Rhinolophus ferrumequinum: one gene and its partners. The protein of the gene in region 3 purifies or fractionates together with the protein of the main gene of each other region. This does not show direct contact. Links are inferred from orthologs where the notes say so. Each region holds a gene or a part of one and is shown on either strand. Other genes may lie near its edges. The genes, in order: KIF23, FAM98A and RACGAP1.

The links.
Region 1: the proteins of RACGAP1 (region 3) and KIF23 purify together in Homo sapiens (co-immunoprecipitation; 10 studies listed by BioGRID and IntAct, counting the BioPlex papers as one, with this or other methods). This does not show direct contact. The link is inferred for Rhinolophus ferrumequinum from reciprocal best matches to the Homo sapiens genes RACGAP1 and KIF23.
Region 2: the proteins of RACGAP1 (region 3) and FAM98A purify together in Homo sapiens (co-immunoprecipitation; 3 studies listed by BioGRID and IntAct, with this or other methods). This does not show direct contact. The link is inferred for Rhinolophus ferrumequinum from reciprocal best matches to the Homo sapiens genes RACGAP1 and FAM98A.

What each region holds. Positions count from the first base shown.
Region 1 is NC_046289.1:42,207,166-42,214,672, forward strand, and holds the start of KIF23 (kinesin-like protein KIF23), read right to left. Parts: upstream 3,015-7,507; 5' UTR 2,849-3,014; coding exon 2,838-2,848; intron 536-2,837; coding exon 466-535; intron 1-465.
Region 2 is NC_046296.1:48,577,077-48,584,594, reverse strand, and holds the start of FAM98A (protein FAM98A), read right to left. Parts: upstream 3,048-7,518; 5' UTR 2,938-3,047; coding exon 2,885-2,937; intron 319-2,884; coding exon 170-318; intron 1-169. UniProt on the Homo sapiens protein: Positively stimulates PRMT1-induced protein arginine methylation. Involved in skeletal homeostasis. Positively regulates lysosome peripheral distribution and ruffled border formation in osteoclasts.
Region 3 is NC_046293.1:50,834,179-50,841,767, reverse strand, and holds the start of RACGAP1 (rac GTPase-activating protein 1), read left to right. Parts: upstream 1-4,520; 5' UTR 4,521-4,535; coding exon 4,536-4,538; intron 4,539-5,528; exon of another isoform or gene 5,529-5,532; coding exon 5,533-5,617; intron 5,618-7,589.

The DNA of each region.
Region 1 (7,507 bases), on a different chromosome or scaffold from region 3:
GTCATTAGACTGAATTAACAGTTCTACATCAAAGTCTTAATGAAACTTGGTCCCCAAAAGCATGGAGTTTGGGGCTTTCCTCATGAAGGATGCCATCAGTTAGGGCTGAATAGTCCTAAAGATGGGAGAGGACGCTCATCCAAGCAGAAAGCTTTCCCCTGTCTCAGAGAGCACGAAGAATTCTCTGGGACAGTTGAAGATTTTTCATTATCTCACTTTTCAAATTATAATTAGTTATAAGAAGTATGCAATCAACAACCAAAAACTTCATTTTACTGGACTAATGAATCCAACATAGAAACAAAATTTCAAAGCTCGAACTAGCCTTAAGCAATTTAGTACAATCTTTTTAACTAAATGTTCTTTGACTCCACTTCCACATCTCCATCCCTTCTAAGGGTACACATAAGACATAAAAGGAATGAAGAGAAAATACACACACATAAATTTACAGGGAGACCTTACCCCAACTGGATCTTTAAGACTCGTTTGGGATCCTTTTTTCACTACAAGTTTCCTGGGCGTCTTACTCCTCCTAGACATAGATTTAAAAAAAAAAAAAAAAAATTTCACTTCAACACTAACATACAAAAACTTCACCTATAATTTACACAGAGACAAACTTCCTGGGCTTTTATAAAATTATTCCTTAGCAGTTCCAAAACACTAAACCCTAAATAACTAACACGAATAAGAATAAATTTCATTAGTATAAGAGTGTCTATGGTATGCATAATCCAAAAGTAATTGAAATTTGGTTTAAGAGACATTTATGGTACCCACTTACTCTAAATTTGCTCTTTTTAGATTTTTTTGGGGGGGCGAAGGAAGGGGGACAGGACTTTATTGGGGAACAGTGTGTACTTCCAGGGCTTTTTCCAAGTTAAGTTGTTGTCCTTTCAATCTTAGTTGTGGAGGGCGCAGCTCAGCTCCAGGTCCAGTTGCCATTGTTAATTGCAGGGGGCGCAGCCCACCATCCCTTGCTGGAGTTGAACCGGCAACCTCGTGGTTGAGAGCCCACTGGCCCATGCAGGAATGAACTGGCAGCCTTCGGCGTTAGGAGCACAGAGCTCCAACTGCCTAAGCCACCAGGCCGGCTGGTACCCACTTATTCTATATTAAAATAGCTTGGATATTTTCTTGAGCAACAATTTTACACAGGTACTACAAGTTTGAAAAATCTACAGATAATTGACTACACTTATCTTGAAAGACATTTACGTGTGTACAAGTACACACTGCACCAACAGCCATTGCCAAGGTAGACTGACAAGTGATTAACTTCAATAAAATTATAAAGAATGCAGATGGATGAGCCCATTCTTTTATCAAGATTTACATCTATACTTTCAAGGAATTGGTTATTGAATTCTCAAAACCTACCATCCTACCCCAAACAAAATGTGGTCCCTAAACTGCAATTTCTTGCTCTCTTTAGTGTTAAAAAAAAGGGGGAACAGGCCCCAAATGGAGTCACTGTCTAAGCCCACATCACCAAAACAAGGTTTAATAATAATCTAATTGCAGTTTCAGTCTCTCCCAGCAATGTAATCTCAGTCAGTCGGTATGGAATTTCCTGGTTAGCACTAATGAGGTAATCCACCTCATAGACCCCCGTGGTCACCAAAGGAAGGTGCCCTTGCCTGAAACAATGGGCTCTTTGCTTGTTCCTGCCCCCTTGTGCCTATAAAAGTCTCCCCTTTTGTACAGCAACTCAGATCTTTCTATTGCTAAATGGGATGCTGCCCGACTTATGAATTGTCGAATAAAGGCAGTAAGATTTTTAAAATTTACTCAGTTGAATTTTATTTTTTATCAGTAGGTACAGTAAAAGAAGATTGTTGTGATTTATTTCACCAATTCTCTGGCATGCTTCCCCACCCCGACCCCAATTTACCTATAGGCTGGATGAACATTTAACACTAAAGTTAAGTTAAATTATTGGCTTGGACCATAGATTATTAAAATAGTTTCTCAACATTTTCCCATGAAACAGAAGCAAACTGGTGTTTTAAGTGCAAAATATTATGATAGGTTTATTTCAATTCAACACTTTAAAAAAAAAAGATTTTGACTGTGGCCTCTTAAGAAAACAAGTAGCCTTTTGCAAACGAGTAGCTACAAGATAATTATAATTACAGTCAACCCTCTTCGGTGCAAAACTATTTCTTTACGCAGTAGCGGTCAAGGAATTATGCTTCGCGGAAAATGTACTGGATTTAGTAAGGAATGTGGGCGGTCAAAGAATAGGGCAACAGTAATCAGCCTATACAATGGGATGGTCTCGGCCTCCAGGCCACGGAGTGGGCTAACAAAACACGCAATGCTCACGACTGCCAGGGCTCTCCAGGGCCTGAGACCACCTAACGAACCCCAATACCAGACCCCAACACTCCGCCCCACCTGCGACACGACCTCGCACTAACTCGGCAAAACGCAACCTGGAGCGCGGGCGGCCCACAGCGAAAGGGAGAACTTAAGAAAATGTTGCCGGAGGCGTCCGGGAGCCAGCTGAATGGCGAGCGAGCTGAATGGCAACCAGCTAACGGGAACCGGCGTGGTGGCAGAAACCTCCCCCGACTTGGGGCCAACCTCTCCAGGCCGCGAGAGCCCGGAGCAGAGCGGCAGGCGCCGGGCTCGGGGTCCGGGATCGACCCGGCTGGGTCTCGGCGCCGTGGCTCCCCCTGAGCGGTCCACGTGCGGACTCCCACTTTGGGGGCTGCGGCCCGGGCAGCGCCGGGCTCCGTGCAGACTGCTCGGCCCCCTGCGGGGGGCGGCTTGAAGAGACGCCCACCCAGCACCGAGGCCCGGCCGGGGCTCCGCCGCCCCGTACTCACGCTGGCTTCATGGCAGCAGGCTCTGCGCTGCCCAGACACGCGCGCGGGACGCCGGGCTAGATGAGGAGGGCTGGCGAGGACTGCGGGTCGCAGAGAGCAGCCGTGGGGACCGGCACACGGCAGCTGAGGGACGGCGCTCAAACACTGCGGTGCCGAGACAAGACCAGGTGCGCTCGCGCCCGGCGCATTTCAAACAGGCCAATCAGCGCACGCCCGGGGGAGGGGCGGGGCCTCCGAAGAAGAGACTATTCTGCCGGAAGTGGCGTTCGTCTCCTAGGCGACCGACGCGGAAAAGGCGCGGAGAGTCTGGGTGTCTTTGCTGCGGGGCTGTAACCCAGATTTCAACATGAAATACAACGCTTTCCATTTCCGATGAGGAAATTGAGGGTTAATTTTCCCACAACACAAGAAGTCCAATGGAGTACCAGGTCCAGAATTGATTCATAAGTCAACACTATCGTTCTGGCCCACGAGTGTCCTATTCTTGTGCTGTGTGATGCTCAGTCTCAGACTCCCTCTCTGGCTTCCAAATCATATCATCTTGGCTTCCTTTCTCTCTCTCTTCTTCACATTTCCCGGGTTTTCCCTCTCTGGTTTCTTCAGCTCTTGCCTGTAGATTTCATTGTTATATCAGATTCTTAGCAATGTTTAATCCTGAGCATACAGAGACAAATAAAATTTGGTCTTTGCCTTGACCAGACGCCTCTTTTCTAAGATGAACTGATTCTGTCTCTCTTTGAACTTTGCCCCTAAATTGATGATTATCAAATAATGCATCTGCATCTGTGCTCTCATGGAACTCTAGTCACAGCTCCTCAACTTCCTACTGGACCAGACACCAATAAGGATAGACACCAGTAAGGATAGACATACTTTATTTATTTATTTATTTTAAAGATTTTATTGGGGCAGGGGAAGTGTGTACTTCCAGGATATTTTTCCAAGTCAAGTTGTTGTCCTTTCAATCTTAGTTGTGGAGGGCACAGTTCAGCTCCAGGTCCAGTTGCCCGTTGCTAGTTGCAGGGGGCGCAGCCCACCATCCCTTGTGGGAGTCAAACCAGCAGCCTTGTGGTTGAGAGCCCACTGGCCCATGTGGGAATCCAATCGGCAGCCTTCCCCCACTGGGCCGGCCCTAGACATACTTTTATATCCTTAGTTTGACATAAAGATGGTTCCAATATTTGCTATTACACAGTTACAGTGAATAAGCTTGGAATTAATCATTTTGCACAATGCAAGTAAATCTGGATGATGAATTCCTAGAAGCATAATTGCTGAGTCAGAGTATATGCATTCATGCTTCACAGATATTGCCAAATTGTCCTCTATACAGGTTGTCCGAATACAAAATCCCACCAGCCATGTATGAGAGTACCTGTTTCGCCACAATTCTCAGACAACAAAGTTGATCTAATAGGTGAAAAAAAATCACAATGTGGTTTAAATAATCTTTTATAATGAATGAAGTTGGGTGTCTGTTCATATATTAAAGAGCCATTTGTTTCCTTCTCTATGAACTATGCCTTTGCCTTCTTGTTCTATTGAGTTGTTCATTTTTCTTATTGATTTATAAAAGCTCTTCATATATTAAGAAAATTGGTCCTCACCCAATATGAGTTCAAATATTTTTATAGCTCATAATTTGGTTTTTACTTTATGTTGTTTTGTGACAGCTTAACCAAATTTATGTCTTTTATGTTTCGTTTTGTATCACACTAAGAAGTCTTCCCCACTCTGAGATAATTTTTAAAAATATCTTATATTTTATAGTGCTCTTATTCCTTTGTTTTTATGTTTAAGTCTTTGAACCATTAGAAATTTGTTTGTTAAGTAGTTGGGATCTGTATCATTTAGGAATTGGGCTTGGCTGCTGGCTACTTAATACTTAACTCTTAGTGACTCTTCAGTCTGGCTTTGGCCTCAGTCTCTCCATTGGAGCTCTTCTCACCAAGATCACCACCTTCTTGATGCCAAATCTAATTGACCCTTGCATACCCTTATTATCCAACTGCCTTCTGGATTCTCCACTTGGGTGTCCCACAGGCACCTCACACCTAACACATCTTAATCTCTTCCCCTGAACCTGCTCCCTGCCAGTGGATGGCATCACCATCTACCCAGCCACCCAAACCAGAGTCCAAGGTACCATGTTTGACTTTTGCCTCCCCTTCTACTCCAACATTCAATCACCAAATCTTGACAGTACTAATAGCCTTCAAACCTCTCCACTTCTCTCCAGCCCCTTGGTCACTACTATTTCTCATCTGGATGACTGCAACAGTATCATAACAAGCCTCTCTGCTGCTACCCTCCAATCCTGGCTCCATTTTGCAGCCAGCTCACCTCTAAATCACATATCTGATAATGTCACACCCCTGCTTATAACACTGCAGTAGCTTTCCATTGCTGGAAACTCTCACAAGGTCCCAAGTCTCTTCCTCTCCAAGCTCATCACCTATCATTAACTCCTGCAGCCCCCCTTTCCCCCAGCCAAATTGACCTTCAGTGCCCTGCACACAGTGGGCTCACACTCACACACCATTCCCTCTGCTGTCAAGCTCTCCTCCCTCCCTCGTCAGACAATGCCTCCTTATCCTCAGTTCTTAGCAGGTCTTCTGCCACCAACCCTGCTCTGGATGCTGGTCCCCTGCTCTATATCCACAGTCCCCTGCACTCCCCCAGTCACTGCACCTGTTGATTTGCTGTAAAGCTCACATCTCAATTTGCAGTGTCCTCTCCAGCTTGTGCCCACAGCCTCACTAGATGGCACTATTGCATCCCCAGTGCCCAACAATGGAAGTACTATATAAATGTTTAGAAGGAATGAATGAATCCATCCCTTTAGAGAACACCCCAGTCAAGGACCCAGTTACATCACAACACCCCCAGTTTTTGTTCAGGCCCATTTCTTCTTTCTCCCTCATTTCTGTGCATATTAAGCTCCCTGGCTTATTAATTTTCTTTAAAATGCCAATTCATTATATTGTTTTTCTGGCTGTCCCACAGGCACTTCACACCTAATACATTCTAATCTCTTCCCCCACCCCAAAGGCTCCCCACAACCAGTAAAAGATTGCTTTTCCCATTAGAAGTAGAGATCCAGACTAGAGGTAAGAATAGGAGAGAGAAAGAGTAGAACTGGGAGGCCTGTTTAAAAAACAACAAAAAATAGCTTTATTGAGGTATAATTTTATTGAGTAAAATTAACCATTTAGTTGTACCGTCTATGTATTTGACAAACACACACCATCCTGTAACCACCGCCACAATCAAATGCATAATATTCCCATCACACAAAAATTCTTGTGTGCTGTCCCCTTTGTAGTCAACCACCGTCCTCTACTCCCAGCTCTTGGCAACCACTTTTCTGACTTCCTTTGAGTTTTGTCTTTTCCAGAATGTCTCTTATTTGACTCAGCATAATAGTTTTGAGATTTATCCATGTGTTGCATGAACCAGTAATGTGTTCCCTTTTTTATTGCTTAGTAGTTTTCTATTGTATGACTGACTGCATGACAATTTATCCATTCATTAGTTCATAGAGTTTAGGTTGTTTCCACTTTTTGGCGATTATGAATGAAACTGGTATAATTATTTGTATAAAGGCCTTTATTTAGACATGTGTTTTCATTTCTCTTGGGTGGGATTGCTGGTGTTGTGCTAAGTGTAAGTTTAGCTTTATAAGAAACTGCCAAACTGGACTGTGAAGGTCTTATGTAAATCACTGAGAAGGAGCTAACACTACACAGATTTGAAACCATTATTAATTCAAGCACCTAACTAAGCAAGTCCAGCTATGGAAACCAAATCAACACCATTGACCAGAACCTACCAAAGCCCAGAATGTTTGAGGGAAGGTGGTAAAATGGAGACAGGACTGCTGTGGGAGCTGGGACACCCAACACACTCAACACCCAGGGAGAGAGGCCTCTCCCTGGCCCTGCTGTTCACTCAGTGGCCTTGGAAACATCATCTCACATTCCCAGGCTCTTTGTAAAACGAATGATTGGATGTTAATGTTTTATATTAAAAAATGAATAAAATCAACAAGCTTCGGGGGGAACTGTAAAATTGATACAAAAAGAAACAAATGATCCGAACCTTATTTCAAATGAATAACATACTGATATAGAAAGGAGGCTATAACTAACCCAAGTAATTAAAACTATTTAGACTATGTGCCCTCAAGCTCAAGACAAAAAGAACGGAAACATATATTGAATTCTAATTAGTAGGCTTTTTTCAGACAGGGGTTAGTGATTTTGAAATAACATTGTGTACACCCTAGGATTGAGCAAGTAAGTAAATACATTGTGGATAATGAAGCCAAGTTTTTCCCTGTTAGAGAAGAGGTATATAAATATTGAAATGAGGAAGGGTAAAAAGTATCTGGGGATTCGTTGTACTATTTGGGGCAACATTTTTGTAAGTTTGAAATTACATTTAAAAAAAAGGTTGGACTACATCAGCACTTCTTAAACTCCCGTATATGAAAAATTACCTAGGCTTTTGTTAGAAATATAAAATTCCAAGGAACGCTCCCGCCTCCATATTCTGCATCTTTTCATTTGTGAAGTCCTGAGAATGTGGATTTTACATCATCAAACACATTTTTTTTTAAGTGTGTTTTTCCAAGACCCATCAAGTAGTTGTTTCAATCTAGTTGTGGA
Region 2 (7,518 bases), on a different chromosome or scaffold from region 3:
ACCTTTCTCTAAAAACAATGGAGACAAAAAAAGTATTTGGTTTCTTACAATTTTTTTTTTTATATTTAGATAGAATTTGAAATTTTAGCTTTAGTACTGATAAATGTTCAACTGATAATGCCTCAATTTTATTTGTATATTTTGCATCTAAAACTGAATGTTTACTTACTGTTAGTTGCTTGCACATTTTCCTCCAGTTTACAGAGCACTCTTAATTCAGACACCAGCCAAGCACAGAGTTTGGTAAACTCAGGGGAACTGGCTCCAGCAGAGACTGCCTGAGACAGAGCGCCATCTTCTAACAATGGACCCTTGTAACTGGTGAGTTAAGAAATCACAGTTCAGAAAAACATAAAATCACACCTAATATATTAGACACAATATATCTATGTATTATTTGTATAAGTAAGCAATAGTTTAATAACAATAAGTTGTGATGACCAATTTCTAAACTTGTAAATACAAATAAAATTTAGAACTACACTAAACCATTAGAAAAACAAGGTAAGTGGTAACTGTATTTCAACCCTTCAAAAGATATGTGAATGTTTAATAGAATCAAATATACTAAATTATATCAACTTCTATACATTTACTGACAACTCTTATGTACAAAGTTTTATTTTCTTACTTTAACTGAACTGAGTATTAAAACCAGATTTAATAAGTGATAGCTAGTTATACTATAGTTTATTATTTCAGAAATAAAAAAAAATTTAGGTTATCTTTTCTAGATGTTTTTCCAAAAATAAATTAGGTTTTTAATAACCTTCTTTAAAAACAAAAATTTTCAAATTAATCATTTATTTATTTTTTCTATATTTAATGAGTTAAGACTAGTAAGATATACTAGTACCAGAGAAATGTCAAGATTGATTTAATAATTTCTGGCGAGTTGATGTTAGGGTGAACTGGTACAAATGAATCCGAATCTTTTGTAAGTAATTCAAATGTAATTCTAAAAAATTATTAAACATTCAAACAATCATAAAAGACAATAGTAATAATGAACCCCAATCTAGAATATGGCTAGAATTAAAGATTTCGTCATTTTCAAAGTAATTTTAAAATATATATTCTCCAGAAAATTATCTTCTTTTAAATGAAATACTAATAAACAGCTATTAAAGATGATATATGAAACGTGCTTTAGATAATTCAATGTTTTGAGGTACAGAGTTGTTAGAGAAATGACAATACTCAATCCTTTTAAAATACAATTACATGTTTACACATTGAATGGAGTGGAAAGTGTTGCACAAAAATTAGATTATATATACTCTTGGCATCTAAATTCAAAACCGCACATTATTAGACACTGGGATGCAGAGAGTAGGCCTAGAAATTTCTCGTGTTACATATTTAGATTTTGTTAGTTTATTCTACAGGGAAGAAACAGTATCCATCACCAATTGTTAGGTGACCTCTATCTACGCAGAACAACTGCATTTAAATAAGGTCTACCTTGTCCTCTCATCCTACTGCTCTTTCAACACTCAAGTATCACTTCTAAGAAGCTTCTAGGACTTCCTATTGCAGTAAAGGGGCTCTCCCCAAATTGTCCCATGGTGTGAACCTCTCTTTCACCTCACTTTGTATTCATAAATGCTCAGCCCAACACTGCCGCAGAACAAGCATTCCTCAAAAATATTTACTGAATGAATAGATTCATGTGTGAGCAAGTATTTAGTCGGAGATGTCCACCAAAAGAGGCCACTTTGCTGAATGTGACTTTTACTTACGCTCTAATGGAAGAAATAAGTCCCTTAAAGTCTGGAATATTCATGAAAATTCAGAGCAAGTGCCGACAAAAGAACAACGGTAATTCACTTTGACAAAGAAGGGTGATGAGTACTCTCATCTAAAAACTTCTACCGGGCCAGACTTTGGGAACCCTCCCAGTGTCCTTTCCTAAAGGTTTCCCTCAAACGTTTCCATGTTATACAAAAGCCGAGGGAAAGGTTTTGATAAAGGACATGTTATTTTATAATGACAGCCAGCTAAGTCTGTCATTTTTTGACCCATACCTATAGACAAATATTTAATCATACACTTTGTTTCTGGAAGCACGTTTAGCCCAAGAGGTTCTTAAGTTTTCAAGTTTTAATCGAGTACACTGATCTGGGTGACCCAATGCAATAAGAAGCCCTATTTTCAGCTTCTAGGTATGAATTGTGATTATCCAACCATAACTGTCAGGAGGAGAGACAAAATGCACAACAAATATGCAGGGACTTGGGGGTGAAGATGACCCTAAGGGTAAGGGCTACTAACAATAACGGCTCAGAGAAGCAGAGAGTCCCAGTCAAGGGAAACTGCCAGTGGTTCCCATGGACGTGACAGGTTCGGAGCACGAGTGAGCTGGCTGGCGGGACGGATGCAGCTGCACAGACATGTGGCTGGGTGCATGCAGAGATGACTGGGCAAAGGAGATTTTTTTGAAAGAAGTGGGGTGAGGTAGGAGTAGGGGCTCAAGACAGGAGTAGAAAGTTTGGAGGACAAGCAGGAAAACACAGAATCAACTTTGGCAACCTCTAGGGTGAGGACATAGGGCAGGAGGATGGGGAGCAAGCAAGGAGAGAAGCTCAGGGAGGGGGGTGGCGAACACCAGAGCCCAGACAATGACACGCATGACTGACAAACGCTGCGGGGAACTCGGCTGCAGGGAGCACAGAAAAGGCCTAGGGGCGTCGCATGTGTAGGGCTCCGACCCGGTAGGGCAGAGAGTGGACGTGGCACTGGGGTCCCGGAGCCGCAGGGGGCGAAAGCCAGGAGCCACGGGGTGCGGTGTGGAGAGACAGGTGTCTCCGACTAGGGCGCAGGAGGTGTTCCCCGGGGACCGGCACTGGGGGTTTTGGGAGACCCCATGCCCTGGCAGTCTTACCCGAGATCTTCCAACGACTCCAAGATGTCAGTCTCCATGAGGTCACACTCCATGCTACTGTGGTATTCAAATTTCCGAGTCGTCAGGCTCCCCTCTTCGCCGGCAACGCGTACACTCACGCATGCGCTGCCTCCCCGGAACTTCCAAATCGACAGCTGGCGCCTCAGTGCCCGCACTGCGCATGTCCCGAGCGTGCGCAACAAACTTAGTCCCGCCTGCTTCCCCACCCCTGCGGGAGGAAAGATTACCGGGTGGCACAATGCTGCACATGCGTATTACTGAATAGTGACGCCGGCTGCCCAAAGAAGGGCAGGAGGACTGGCTGCGTGGCAGCAGGGCGTGGGGACCAGGAGAGGGAGGAAAGTTCTAACCTCTCTCTAAATTGGGTGTACGCATGTGCGAATCTTGGGGAGAGGAGGGCGGGGTAGGAGCTTGGGGGTCTCTAGATATGGGTGGGTGTTGGCTGTGAAACAGTCTCTGCGTCCCAAGGAGTAGCCCGAGTGGCTGTCTGCAGCCTGCCAGCGTAGTCTAGCCTTAGCTGTGGGTCCTGAAGAGACGGAAAATTCATGAGCTCCGGTTTAATTCCTTAGGACGGGTAGACCGACCAAGTGCTGAGACGGGCAGATAACATGCCTTTTGGTATCCTTGTGGCTGCAGTGGCTGTATTTCAGGATGAGGGAGGAGTCAACTTTCTTTTGACTTGGACGCATTGGGGAAGTTGTTGCGTTCGCCCCTTTGCATTCTTCTTAAGCCCTTCCCAGACTAAGCATCTTATTTTGGGGGGAGGAGAGGGAGGAGGGCCGACAGAGGAGGGCTTCACTCTGTATTAAATAGAATATATTTAATAGTGAATAAACTTTTAATTTGTAATGCAATTGCTTTTGACATTATTTGGTTGGGTGTGACGTTCAGTTCACGAGGGGTTATGATTTCTTGGCAGTTGTTGGTTGGGTATATGCTTAGAAGTTATTAAAAATGAAAAAAAATGTTTTCTAAGTGAGGACATATTTAGAGAATTCTATTTAACACAAATTGACATAATGTATTGTGTAGGCATTTAATTCGTTTTCACATTGGTACCAGTAGATTTTATTTTGCGGTTCTCAAACATTTTCATGTCGAATGGATAAATGCCCCCTATACCTTTTTTTTTATTTCCTTATTTTGCATCATCTAGAGTGGGGGAAGGAGTTAACATTTATAATGTAGCCAAAGTGTGCTTGACATGGTATTACTCCCGTGATCCATATTGTTTTATGCAATCATCATAGGGCTGTGTATGTATTACTCGCATTTTACAGATTAGGACACAGGCTCAGTGGCTTCATGATCTGTGAAAATGGTAAGACCAGTACGGACTGTATTTTGAGACTGAGGCATATCTGAATCAATATTCCTTCTCATTTGACTAGTCAAATAAGGTTTTATAAGCAGGACGTGAAAAGATAGGAAGATCAAGCTAGTTGAATTTGTTTCAGCTTATATATGTTGTACATAATTACCTTATAATAAAAATGGAATAATCATTTGTTCTCATAAGGTTGTCTAATGTGCTAAATAAAAAGTAAGGCTTAATTCACAATCAATTTGAGAAAACAAAGGTTCACTTTTCCGTGTAAGTTGTAACATATACTATTATTAGTGAACAAGTGGCGATCATTTCTCCTTCCATCACCATATATTTGATCGCTTTTACCCTCATCTACCACCACCCTCCTCCCTTTCCCTCTGGTAACCACTAAAATATTGTTTGTGTCTATGAGTTTTGTTTCTTTATTTGTCTTGTTCCTTTGTTGTTTTCAGTTTTATATCTTACATATCAGTGAAATCAGATGGTTCTCGATTTTTTCTGTCTGACTTATTTCACTTAGCATAATAATCTAAATATCCATCCATGTTATTGCAAATGGCACTGTTTCACCTTTTCTTATGGCAGAATAGCATTCCATTGTGTATATATACCACATTTTCTTTATCCAATCATCTGTCGAAGGACACTTTGGTTGTTTCCATGTCTTGGCCACTGTAAATAAAGCTGCAATGAACATCGGAGCACATATATCTTTATGGATAAATGTTTTCAGAGTTTTTGGGTATATAGCCAGGAGAGGGATTGCTGGGTCATATGGTAATTCTATTCTTAATTTTTTGAGGACTCTCCACACTGCCTTCCATAGCAGCTGCACCAATCTGCATTCCCACCAACAGTGTAGGAGGGTTCCTTTTTATCCACAGCCTCTCCAACACTTGTTATTAATTGTCTTGTTGATGATAACCATTCTAACTGGTGTGAAGTGATAGCTCATTGTAGTTTTTGTTTGCCTTTCACTGATGATTAGTGATGTTGAGCATCTTTTCATATGTCTGTTGGCCATCTGTACATCAGGTATCTTTGAGAGATGAGTTTTTTCTGTGTTGAAGATGTTCAACTCGAAATCATGAATGATCTTAAAGACCAGCCTTTTCTGGTCTTGAAAAGAGTAAAGTGAAGTCATAGTTTATACTACTGAAAAAATATAGAGGAGAAAATTGAAATGAAAACTGATATCAATTTTCAGACGAGCATCTTTTTATGTCATAACCTTAAAGGTTATTATAAGAGAAATTTTGAATTATGTAGTTAAATTTATGCAGCTGAGAGTCTTAAGAAAGTTATTTATAAAACGTATAGAAGGGTAATTTTTATAACGGCAATGAAGTAGGTGTATATTTGAACATAAGGTTTGTCATTTGTCATAGAACGGTTTCTAAATCTTGATTAAATAAGCACCTAAAATAATTTTTCTTTCTCAGATAAAAGAGGCTGAAAAATAGCAGCATTTCCCAGTTTTAATGAATTTGCCTTTAGAATGGCCCTCCAACAAGGAGAAAATGAGAAAAACCATAGATTTGCTCATGTTGCATGAAATAAGATTTGTATATGCTACTAAATAAAGTCTTTTCAGCTTGCTCGCTGAAAATAGTCCTTTTTTTCTGTCTAAATATTGGTATGTAGAATTAATCTTGAAGGGTCTCAAATACCCTTATATCACTAAATAATGCTGTTTTTTAGATCACGCCTCTAGTGATGTTAGTATATTTTCTGAACCCAGGCAATTTTTAGAGATTTACAAAATTTGAGAACAGTATCTTGCCTATGTTTAACTTGAGGAAGAGGTATAGATATGGATAAAGATATACAGATGATTAGAGATATAGATATAAACAAATATTTCTAGAATAAAAGCTCCAAACTTGATTTGTTTGTCCAGCCCAGCTTAAGCCTACTGGGCCATGTTCTGCCAACCTGTGAATCAGGCACATAGTGAACCAGATAAACACTGGTCTAATTTGGGTGCAGTAAGAGTTTACTAGACTCTGGCCCAGAGGTGATAAACTAGCATTCATATCAGTCTAAGAGTTGTGGGAGTTAAACTGACAAAGATTAACAGAAGAAAAAGCATACAAATTTTTATTGATGTTATGACTTTTGTAATGTTTCACAGAAAAGACATGAAAACCCCAAAGATGTAGTTAAGACTTGAGAGTTTATAAACCATTTTAACAAAGAGTGATAAATTGTGGAGAAGTGACTAAACAATGAAAGGGGTTTTAAGCATCTAGGGGTGGTAAATTGTGGGAAGATACATGTATGGGGAAACTAATGGAAGACAAGGGTTATTTTTATAAGGTTTGTCTGTGCAGACTCCTTTCGAAGCCAACTTTCTTCATTATCAGAAGTTTCTGCTTTTTGTCAGATAATGGAAGCTCTGAGAAGACTTGCCAAAGTTGATTCTCTGTTTTCCTGCTTGTCCTCCAGACTTCTATTGATTCTCAATTGCCTTCGGCTCTAAATAATCCATATGCCGAAGTGTCATATTTGGGATGGCATATTCTGATCTTCACTAGTCACATGAAACTTCTACTATTCACTTAACACACCTTGCTCTTCTATGCCTGTATACTTTTGGACAAGTTGTTTTTTTCAGCCTGGAATCCCCTTTCCTTCATTCTCTGTCTGGCAGTTTCCCCCTGCCCAATCTTTAAGACTGAGTTTGGGGGAAACCTTCTCCGACTGCCTGAGGCACTCATCCTTTATCTCCCAAAGCTTCCTTAACACTTCTTCCCAGATAACATTCCTGTTCCAGGCCAGTCCACAGATACCCTTTGTTCTCTCTGCTGCTTTGCTTCCGTTCTATCTCATCCTCAAGGCTTAGATCAGTTTCACCGTTCCACAAGAATGTGTTCCCTGAGTGTGCTGGTTAAAATTAATTTTCCTACTGCTAATATAGCAGTGCCTACTTGATTGTCATAATCATGTGGGGGAGTTAAATTCAGATTCCTGGGCTCTGCCTCTGATGGTTTCGTAATTAGTCCTTCAAAATCTAACATTTATTAATGTTATATTTTTATGTGACTTAATAGGTTCTGACCTTTTCTATTCAGTTGCTATAAAACCTTGCACATCCTACATATTGCTTAGTACATTGATGCATACACACTAGGCATAAAATTGTTGATTAGTTGATTGACAAGAAAATGTTTCCTTTCTCTTGACCAGATTTTGCTTTCTTCTGAAAGAATAAAGTGATTCTTCACAGGGAATGAAAAAGTATGCAACAGTGAATTATGCGCTGAGCTCTTGGATCATCCTG
Region 3 (7,589 bases):
GTAGGGGATGCTTCGGTGAATTGTTAAGACTTATACTAGATGTTGAAGAATGGAACACTTCAGAATAGGAATTCACAGAAAGTCAAAAAAAAAAAAAAGGAGAACTTAGTATACTGAACTGGTAATAATTTTCTGAAAAATAATCATTCAACTCATCCTTTATTTTAGTCTTCATGTTGGACTGAGGATGGTCTATTTACTCTTTCTGCAATTGGATTGCTCATAAGAACATTTGGTTTCAAGATATTCCTTCTGCCTGCCAGTTGTATCGAGGCTTTTGATGTGTGAAACAGAAGCTGGACATTTGGGATGAAGAATTGTTCGGAAATGCTTTCATAAAAGAATCCTATAGTATTAGGACTGTCTTAGGGAATGGTTTTCCTTAGCAGCAGAGAACCTGTATTGTTGATTTCTTGGGGGATCTCTGCATTTAGTGTTTGTGAGAACGTTTTTCATTAAAACTCTCAAGCAACCTTCCATTGCTTTGTCTTACAATATTTAACACCCTTGATACATCTAAAAAAGATGATGTATACATCTCTTAATAACGTTGTTTGTAGTGGGAGGAAGAAGATAGAGACTTCCCCCAGGATACTCTGCAGTGAAGATCTGTAGTAGTCTGTTATTCTGAAGGATGATGTCTGTCTCTTGGCTGGGTGATTGAAATTAAATTGGGGACTCAAAGCAATCACATCGAGCTGAGTGAGACTCTTTCCTGGTGATGCACAATTGCTCCCTTAGGGATACTCACAGATTGGGAATCTGTAACATAGTGACTTCTCCACCTCTGGGGCTTCTCATCAATAACAGCTGAGATTTTGTAGCACCTTTTTGTTTCAAGTGCTCCACAAACTGATTTCCTTGCTCCACACAGGGATCATTTCAGCTTTCCCGAAAGGCAGCTGCCTCTCTAGTGAAAAGTGACAGCTGTTTTACAGCTCCAAAGCAATGTACTACAATATGACTTTGTTTTTGTTTCCTTTCACATTAGTGTATCTCCTAGCTATGGAGCTAAATAATAAAGGGGGAGAAATAAAGAAGTATTCATGAGGTGAAAATGTGACCCAGCAGGAAAATTAAGACCATTTTCAGTTGACATTGAATAGCGTGAGTAACTTTTAACATTTCGAGTTACAATTTGGCTGAGATATCATGGTTAGTACTGATGCAGAGAGCTATTTTTGTCATCTATAAATAATTCCTGAGCGTCAGTTCTATAGAACATTAATAAAAATGCATGATGGTCCCCCAACATATAAAGAGAAGATTCCTGGTGCCTTTTTCGGATTACCTTACATAAACCTATGTTAGAAAGAAAAGTAACTCTTCTCAGATGCTACAAGTCTCGTGTAGAACAACTTGTTAAAGAACCTAGACCTGGTCAAATTTTGCTGTCTCCCCCATTCTTTTTGGTCTGGGTTCCAGCTATGATTTGGTAATCCCTATTCTAGGGTGTAAATAACTATCAGACCAAAGCAAAAACAAAAATTTCATACATGCTATAATACCCTACATTTTATAGTAAGGTTCAATTTATACATTATAAAACTTTTAAACTACATTAATTGATAATATTCTGTGAGGTGAATAGGACAAGTATTACTGTTCCCATTTATAGATGAGTCTCAGAAATTAAGTGACTTACCAAAGGTTATACAACTGGTAAATAGAAGAACTAAAACTATCCCAGCACTTCTTTTAGTCCCCACCTGCCCCCCTTTTCTTAACTGTTCTTTTTGTTTGTATCTGTATCACACATTAATGTTCAGGTAGAATGGGTGTGTGTGTGTGTGTATGTGTGTTCTCTGACTTTTATAAAATATTTTTAAATACTTAGTGTGTGTATGTGTAATACAGTAGTGCCAAATAAACGTAAGGTTTTCCCTCTCACATTTACATGGTAAAGTTAGAGTGCAAGGAGTGTGTGTCTGAGTGCCAACTGAGCAAAGGGGGGTGGGGGGAGATGAGTTGAAGTGAGAGGATGACCTGTCAGTGACAAGGGTTTGGTAAGAGCACATGAGAGAAGAGTCCCCAAGGTTTGGTGATTGTATCTGTGGGAAAGGGACTGACTTAAGGTGATTCTGAGATTTGGAACTGGGTGACCGGGAGAATGATAAAAATAAGGGAATCAAAATTGGGAGTCAGTAGGGTAAGGTCAGTGGGTAGGGTAGTTGACGCTGGACAGTACGTATTGCTTCATGACGGGATACATTGTAGAGGGTGTTATTTTGAGAAATGCGTTGGATGATTCTGTCATTGTGTGAACATCATAAAGTGAGTGCACTTACACACACCAGGGTTTCGTCTATGTCACACGGCCTGTTGCTCCTGGGCGACAAGCCTGCACAGTACGTTAGTACTGAATACTGTAGGCAACTGTACCACGATGGTTAGCATTTGTATGTCTAAACATAGTAATGATACAGTCAAAATACCATGTAAAAGATTAAAAATGGCACACCTGTATAGGGCACTTACCATAAATGGAGCTTGTAGGACTGGAAGTTTCTCTGGGTGAGTCAGAGTGAGTGGGGAGTGAGTGCAGGCCTAAGACGTGACTGTCCACTGCTGCAGACTTTATGACACTGCACACTTAGGCTGCGCTACGTTTATACATTTCCTTCTTCAATAATAACTTAACCTAGCCGACTGTAACTTTTACCTTACGTATATGAGGGGGAAAGATAGAACAGGGTCTGAAAATCAAGCTCAAAATCTCGGGGATGCAAATTGAGAGCTCCAGGATTGGCATTCGCGAGGCTGGGGCTGGCGAGATAAATGGGTGATTTGTCTGTAGAGATGTGATGATTGAAGTGGGGGCATTTGACCTGTTCTTCAGGCGGTTGGAGGGTTGAACTTTCGGCATGTCTGGTGTTGAGAGAGAAGAACAGAAAAATCCATAATCAAATTATTTGTGAAACTCTAAATCTGGAGACTCGGACAGTCTGGACAGTTAGGGCTACCCCTGCTGTTCACAGTACAGCGCTGGGAGTTCAGTGAAACAACGATCTCCTAGCTGCTACGTAGGCGGCAGGTCAGGGGAACAGTGTAGATCAAGGCAGTTCTGTGAGAGAACAGTTATATGAGGAGATGTTCCCAGATAGGTTCTCAGTGTGTCTTTAGAGTTTTCAGAATCTGGTTGTGTTTTCCAGAGAGGACCTCCCCCAACCCTGACTCCAGGGAGTAGTATGCGCCAAACGTTGGAAAGAAGAATAATGGACTAGAGGAACTTGAGAAAATAGGAGGATTTCTTTTAAAGGGGCAAAGGATCAGGTTCTTGTATTGTCATTGAAGACAAAAACTTTCTGAATTTTTTTTTAAACAACTAGTTTTTAGTTGTACTATGAAATTTTCCTTTTCCACATTCTTGGAGAGAGAAGTTTTCCTGTGTACTGAGCTCATTGCCTTGGAATCTCAGAATATAGATGAATGCTGAGATGATAGAAATCAATACCCCATATTAAAAGTGTCTTCCATTTTTACTGGGAGCCCAAGGAAATCATCATTTGAAGAAGCTATGAATGCACTGCTCCTGCGTCTGCCCTATAGCATTTGAGTATATTTGCCTGTTTTGTCATGTTGTTAAATCACGGGCATCTCCATGACTTCCAGATCCAGATCTCTTGCTGCCAGTTGTTTTGTTTTGTTTTTTAAAATATTTTATTGGGGAAGGGGAACAGGAATTTATTGGGGAACAGTGTGTATTTCCAGGACTTTATTGGGGAACAGTGTGTTTTTTCCCAGGACCCATCAGCTCCAAGTCAAGTTGTTGTCCTTTCAATCTTAGTTGCGAGGGCGCAGCTCAGCTCCAAGTCCAGCTGCCGGTTTCAATCTAGTTGAGGGTGGTGGGGGGGCGGGGGGGGGCAGCCCACCATCCCCTGGAGGGAGTCGAACCAGCAACCTATTGTTGAGAGCACGTGCCCTAACCAACCGAGCCATCCGGCCGCCGGGAGCTCAGCAGCAGCTCAGCTCAAGGTGCCGTGTTCAATCTTAGTTGCAGGGGGTGCAGCCCACCATCCCTTGCTGGGCTGAGAGCAAGCACTCTAACCAACTGAGCTATCCAGCCGCCCCTCTTGCTGCCAGTTTTAATCTATTATTTTAGTTGTCTTCTTAGTTTAGAGGAAGATCTTTGTAATACATTTGTTGGTCTGGTTGCTTAGCAGCTTGTTGTGATTATGTAGCTTGGAACAGACACACTGCCATTTGAAAATCTTGGTTTCCGGCCCTGATTCAGGTATATATTGCATCCAAGGTTGGAATTGAAAGCTTTTTTGCTGTTAGAACAATCATCATACAAGTACAAATGAATAATTCTGTAGCATTTAATAGAAAATATCTTTATGTTTATATATTCCTTTGTCCTTTGCAGTTTTTTTTCCTTGCTTGCCCTCACAGCATATGGTACAATCTTACAAACATTGTAAAATCACTAAACCTTCATAAAAGAGTTCTTCAAATCTTATTTAGAGATGAAATAAGAACCTGGACAAGAATGTTGAAGGGGTGATTAGGCGAAACCTGAGAAGAATCCTTGAATGGTATTTCTGAGGACATTCAGTTGTTAAATGAAATTTGATGTTTTATTTCATTTCCTTGATAGTTTTTATAACATCCAGTTGATGTCTTTCTTTCTTGACTGTTAAATGAAGGTCTTATTTTCTCAAAGTGTTCCCATTTAATGTCCATTCGGAACTGCCAGTAAGGATACCATTTTTTAATGTAATATCAGCAGGTCTTTGGAGGGGGAAATATGAAGCCTGAAATTCACTATACTGAACACAGTAGCAAATGAGTTTTCCTTTGCCCTCCTAACTGTGAAGGTGGTGTATTGTCTCCTCGATGCCAGAATGTGGCACAACATAAGCCTTTGCCTGTACTTAGTGTAAATGTATTAGACATAGTCCCTGCACGCAGCCCAGCGGAGAGCCGTGCACTACAGAAATAATTCTTGTGCTGCTGAGCTGGCGGTTTCGCCACTTCATCTCTTGTGTGACGTCATCTGTGGTGGTGGTAGGAAATGTGCTGACCATGTCCTGCGTTTTAAAAGACAGATACAACAGGGGTACTAGCTAAAAATGAAATTAAAAAAATAAACCTTTTAGGTTATGTTGAAGGTCTTCAAAGTCCAGAAGGATTCAAGTGGCAGAAGGTGTTGTTAATCAATAAACTTGCCTAAGAACCACATTTTATAGTTGGTCACTTAGTAATCAACTGACCTGCTTATGTCTAATTGCTTTTCTCTCAGCTCCATAGTGATTGTAGAAGGGAGGAAAAGAAGTAGGCAGCAAAGGGGTTATATTCAGAGGTCGGAAATGCTTTTCTAATTTTCAAATGAGTGTTAAACATTCCAACGTTATTTTTACAATAAGGATTACACAAAACATCAATTGTTGGCTTGAGATTCTTATAACGGTAGCTACAAATGGAAGGTCCAGATGTTAGTCACTGGTGACTGGACTGGATTGCTGCTGAATCTTTTGTCTGGGGGAGAAGGCAGGATCCCTAATGTATATTTGATTTCTTGGCAGAAAGATGGATACTGCGATGCTGAATTTGCGGAATCTGTTTGAGCAGCTTGTACGCCGGGTGGAGATTCTCAGTGAAGGAAATGAACTCCGTAAGTCATTCTGAGTTGGCCTGTGTGAAGAGAGGAAACGTATTTCAGAGTTGAGTTTTCTATACAGCTGAAGCGTGTTCCAACCTTAAAACTGTTTTTTATGTGGGTTACTTACAAAGAATGTGATGGTCACTTATCCCTGGTCAAAGCTTAATGGACACTCACTCTAAATAGTCACTTTCTTCTCTAGTTCTTAACTGGGTTTTAGTTAGACTTTTTTCATTATTAAGTTTCTTTTTTCACTAAACAGTTTGCATTAGTTGCCAATTTTTGTACCATGAACTGGGCAAAATCTACTGGATTTCCAGGGATGTTGCTTTTTTCTTTAGTAATTGTCTACATTTTTTATCCTGGGCCTTTTCTGTGTTCTATAGAACATTTTCAGTTGAAGAGGAAAAAAATGTCATAACTTCTTTCGAAGGAGAAACTATTCATCTGCTTTTACCTAGTTCATATATTTGATGTTTAGTAATAAAGGCTTGAGATTGGGTGGAGAGCTGGGGGGAAATGGAGATGGTGAGAAAATAGTCGTCTGGAAAGCAGATTAGTGAAAAACGAAGGTGGGGCTGGTAGCACTGACTTAAGCAATCTATGGGAATGATTATTATTATTATTTTTAAACTTTTATTTATTTAAGTGTGTTTTTCCAGGACCCATCAGCTCCAAGTCAAGTAGTTGTTTCAATGTAGTTGTGGAGAGCGCAGCTCACAGTGGCCCATGCAGGGATCGAACCGGCAACCTTGTTGTTAAGAGCACCATGCTCTAACCAACGGAGCTAACCGGCTGCCCCAACGGGAATTATTCTTTACCAGCTTCTCTTTGTGCTGCCATCCTCTCCTATTTAAGATTTTCATTAACACCTAATTTAGTAAGTGTTGTTCTTAAGTCAGCCTCATTGATGTAAAAATAAGGCAAGAACTATGTCTTAAACAAAAAATTCCTATAGTGCTTAGTATGGCATCTTGCTTATGCCATTCAATATTTCCTTTAATTTGATTGATGTTTTTAATAGCTCTTATCCACTTACAGGCCTTTCAAAACAGTATTCTATTTTCTCTCTCTAATAGCTGTTGCATGACCCTATCATCTGGTACCAGCTCAGTAACCATGATGGCATACTAATTAGGCTTCTCTCTGAGGTCACATCATCTTAGAAGATGAATTACTTTGCAGTCTAGTGGGGGAAGAGTATTGAACAAGAGATCTGAAAATTCAGGTTCATTCAGCAAATATTTAGTGAGACCCTATCACAGCCTCTAGCACAGGTGGAATGGAGTGCAAGGGGTGACTAAATGGCATCATGGAGAAAAGTAGGGTTTGAATTGAGTCTTAGACACAGGGTAGGATCCCAACAGACAGAAATGAAGAGGACATTTAGGGTCCGGGGAAGAGCCTGAGTGGAGGCCAAAGGGTGAGGGGCTTGAGGAGAATAAGAGGAAGGGGGAGGGACCTAATCAGAGCTGTGCTTTTGGAAGCTTATGCTGGCAGAGGGGGAGGTTGCAGGAAAGGTGGAGGCTGGGAGACTGAGCAGGACATGGTTGTTGGTGCTCAGGAAAGAGGCAACAGGAATCCTAAGTGGGATGGTGGTTGTGAAAATGGAAGTAAGGGGAAATGAGTGGACGAGATTGTGAGAATAAGATCTCTAGGAGGAGGCAGCTGGTAGGAGTGGGGGCAGAGGGCAGAGTCTGAGGTTTGGAGCCTCAGTAACTTGTGCTGGCTTTTAACAGTTATTTCTGTTTGTTTCTCTAGCTGTAACATAGAAATTTAAATGTCTGTTTTCTTTGTGGGAGTGCTGTGAGGATTTGTAGATAAAATGAGATACTAGTTGTGAAGATACTTTGGAAGTAATTATGCCAAAAACTATACAAGATATTTATTTCTATAGATACCCTTATTATATAAGCAAATTTATATCTTCCCATTGTTTTCTGTTATAAAATAGAGGTACATTTTGCCTCCATCTCCAAATCTC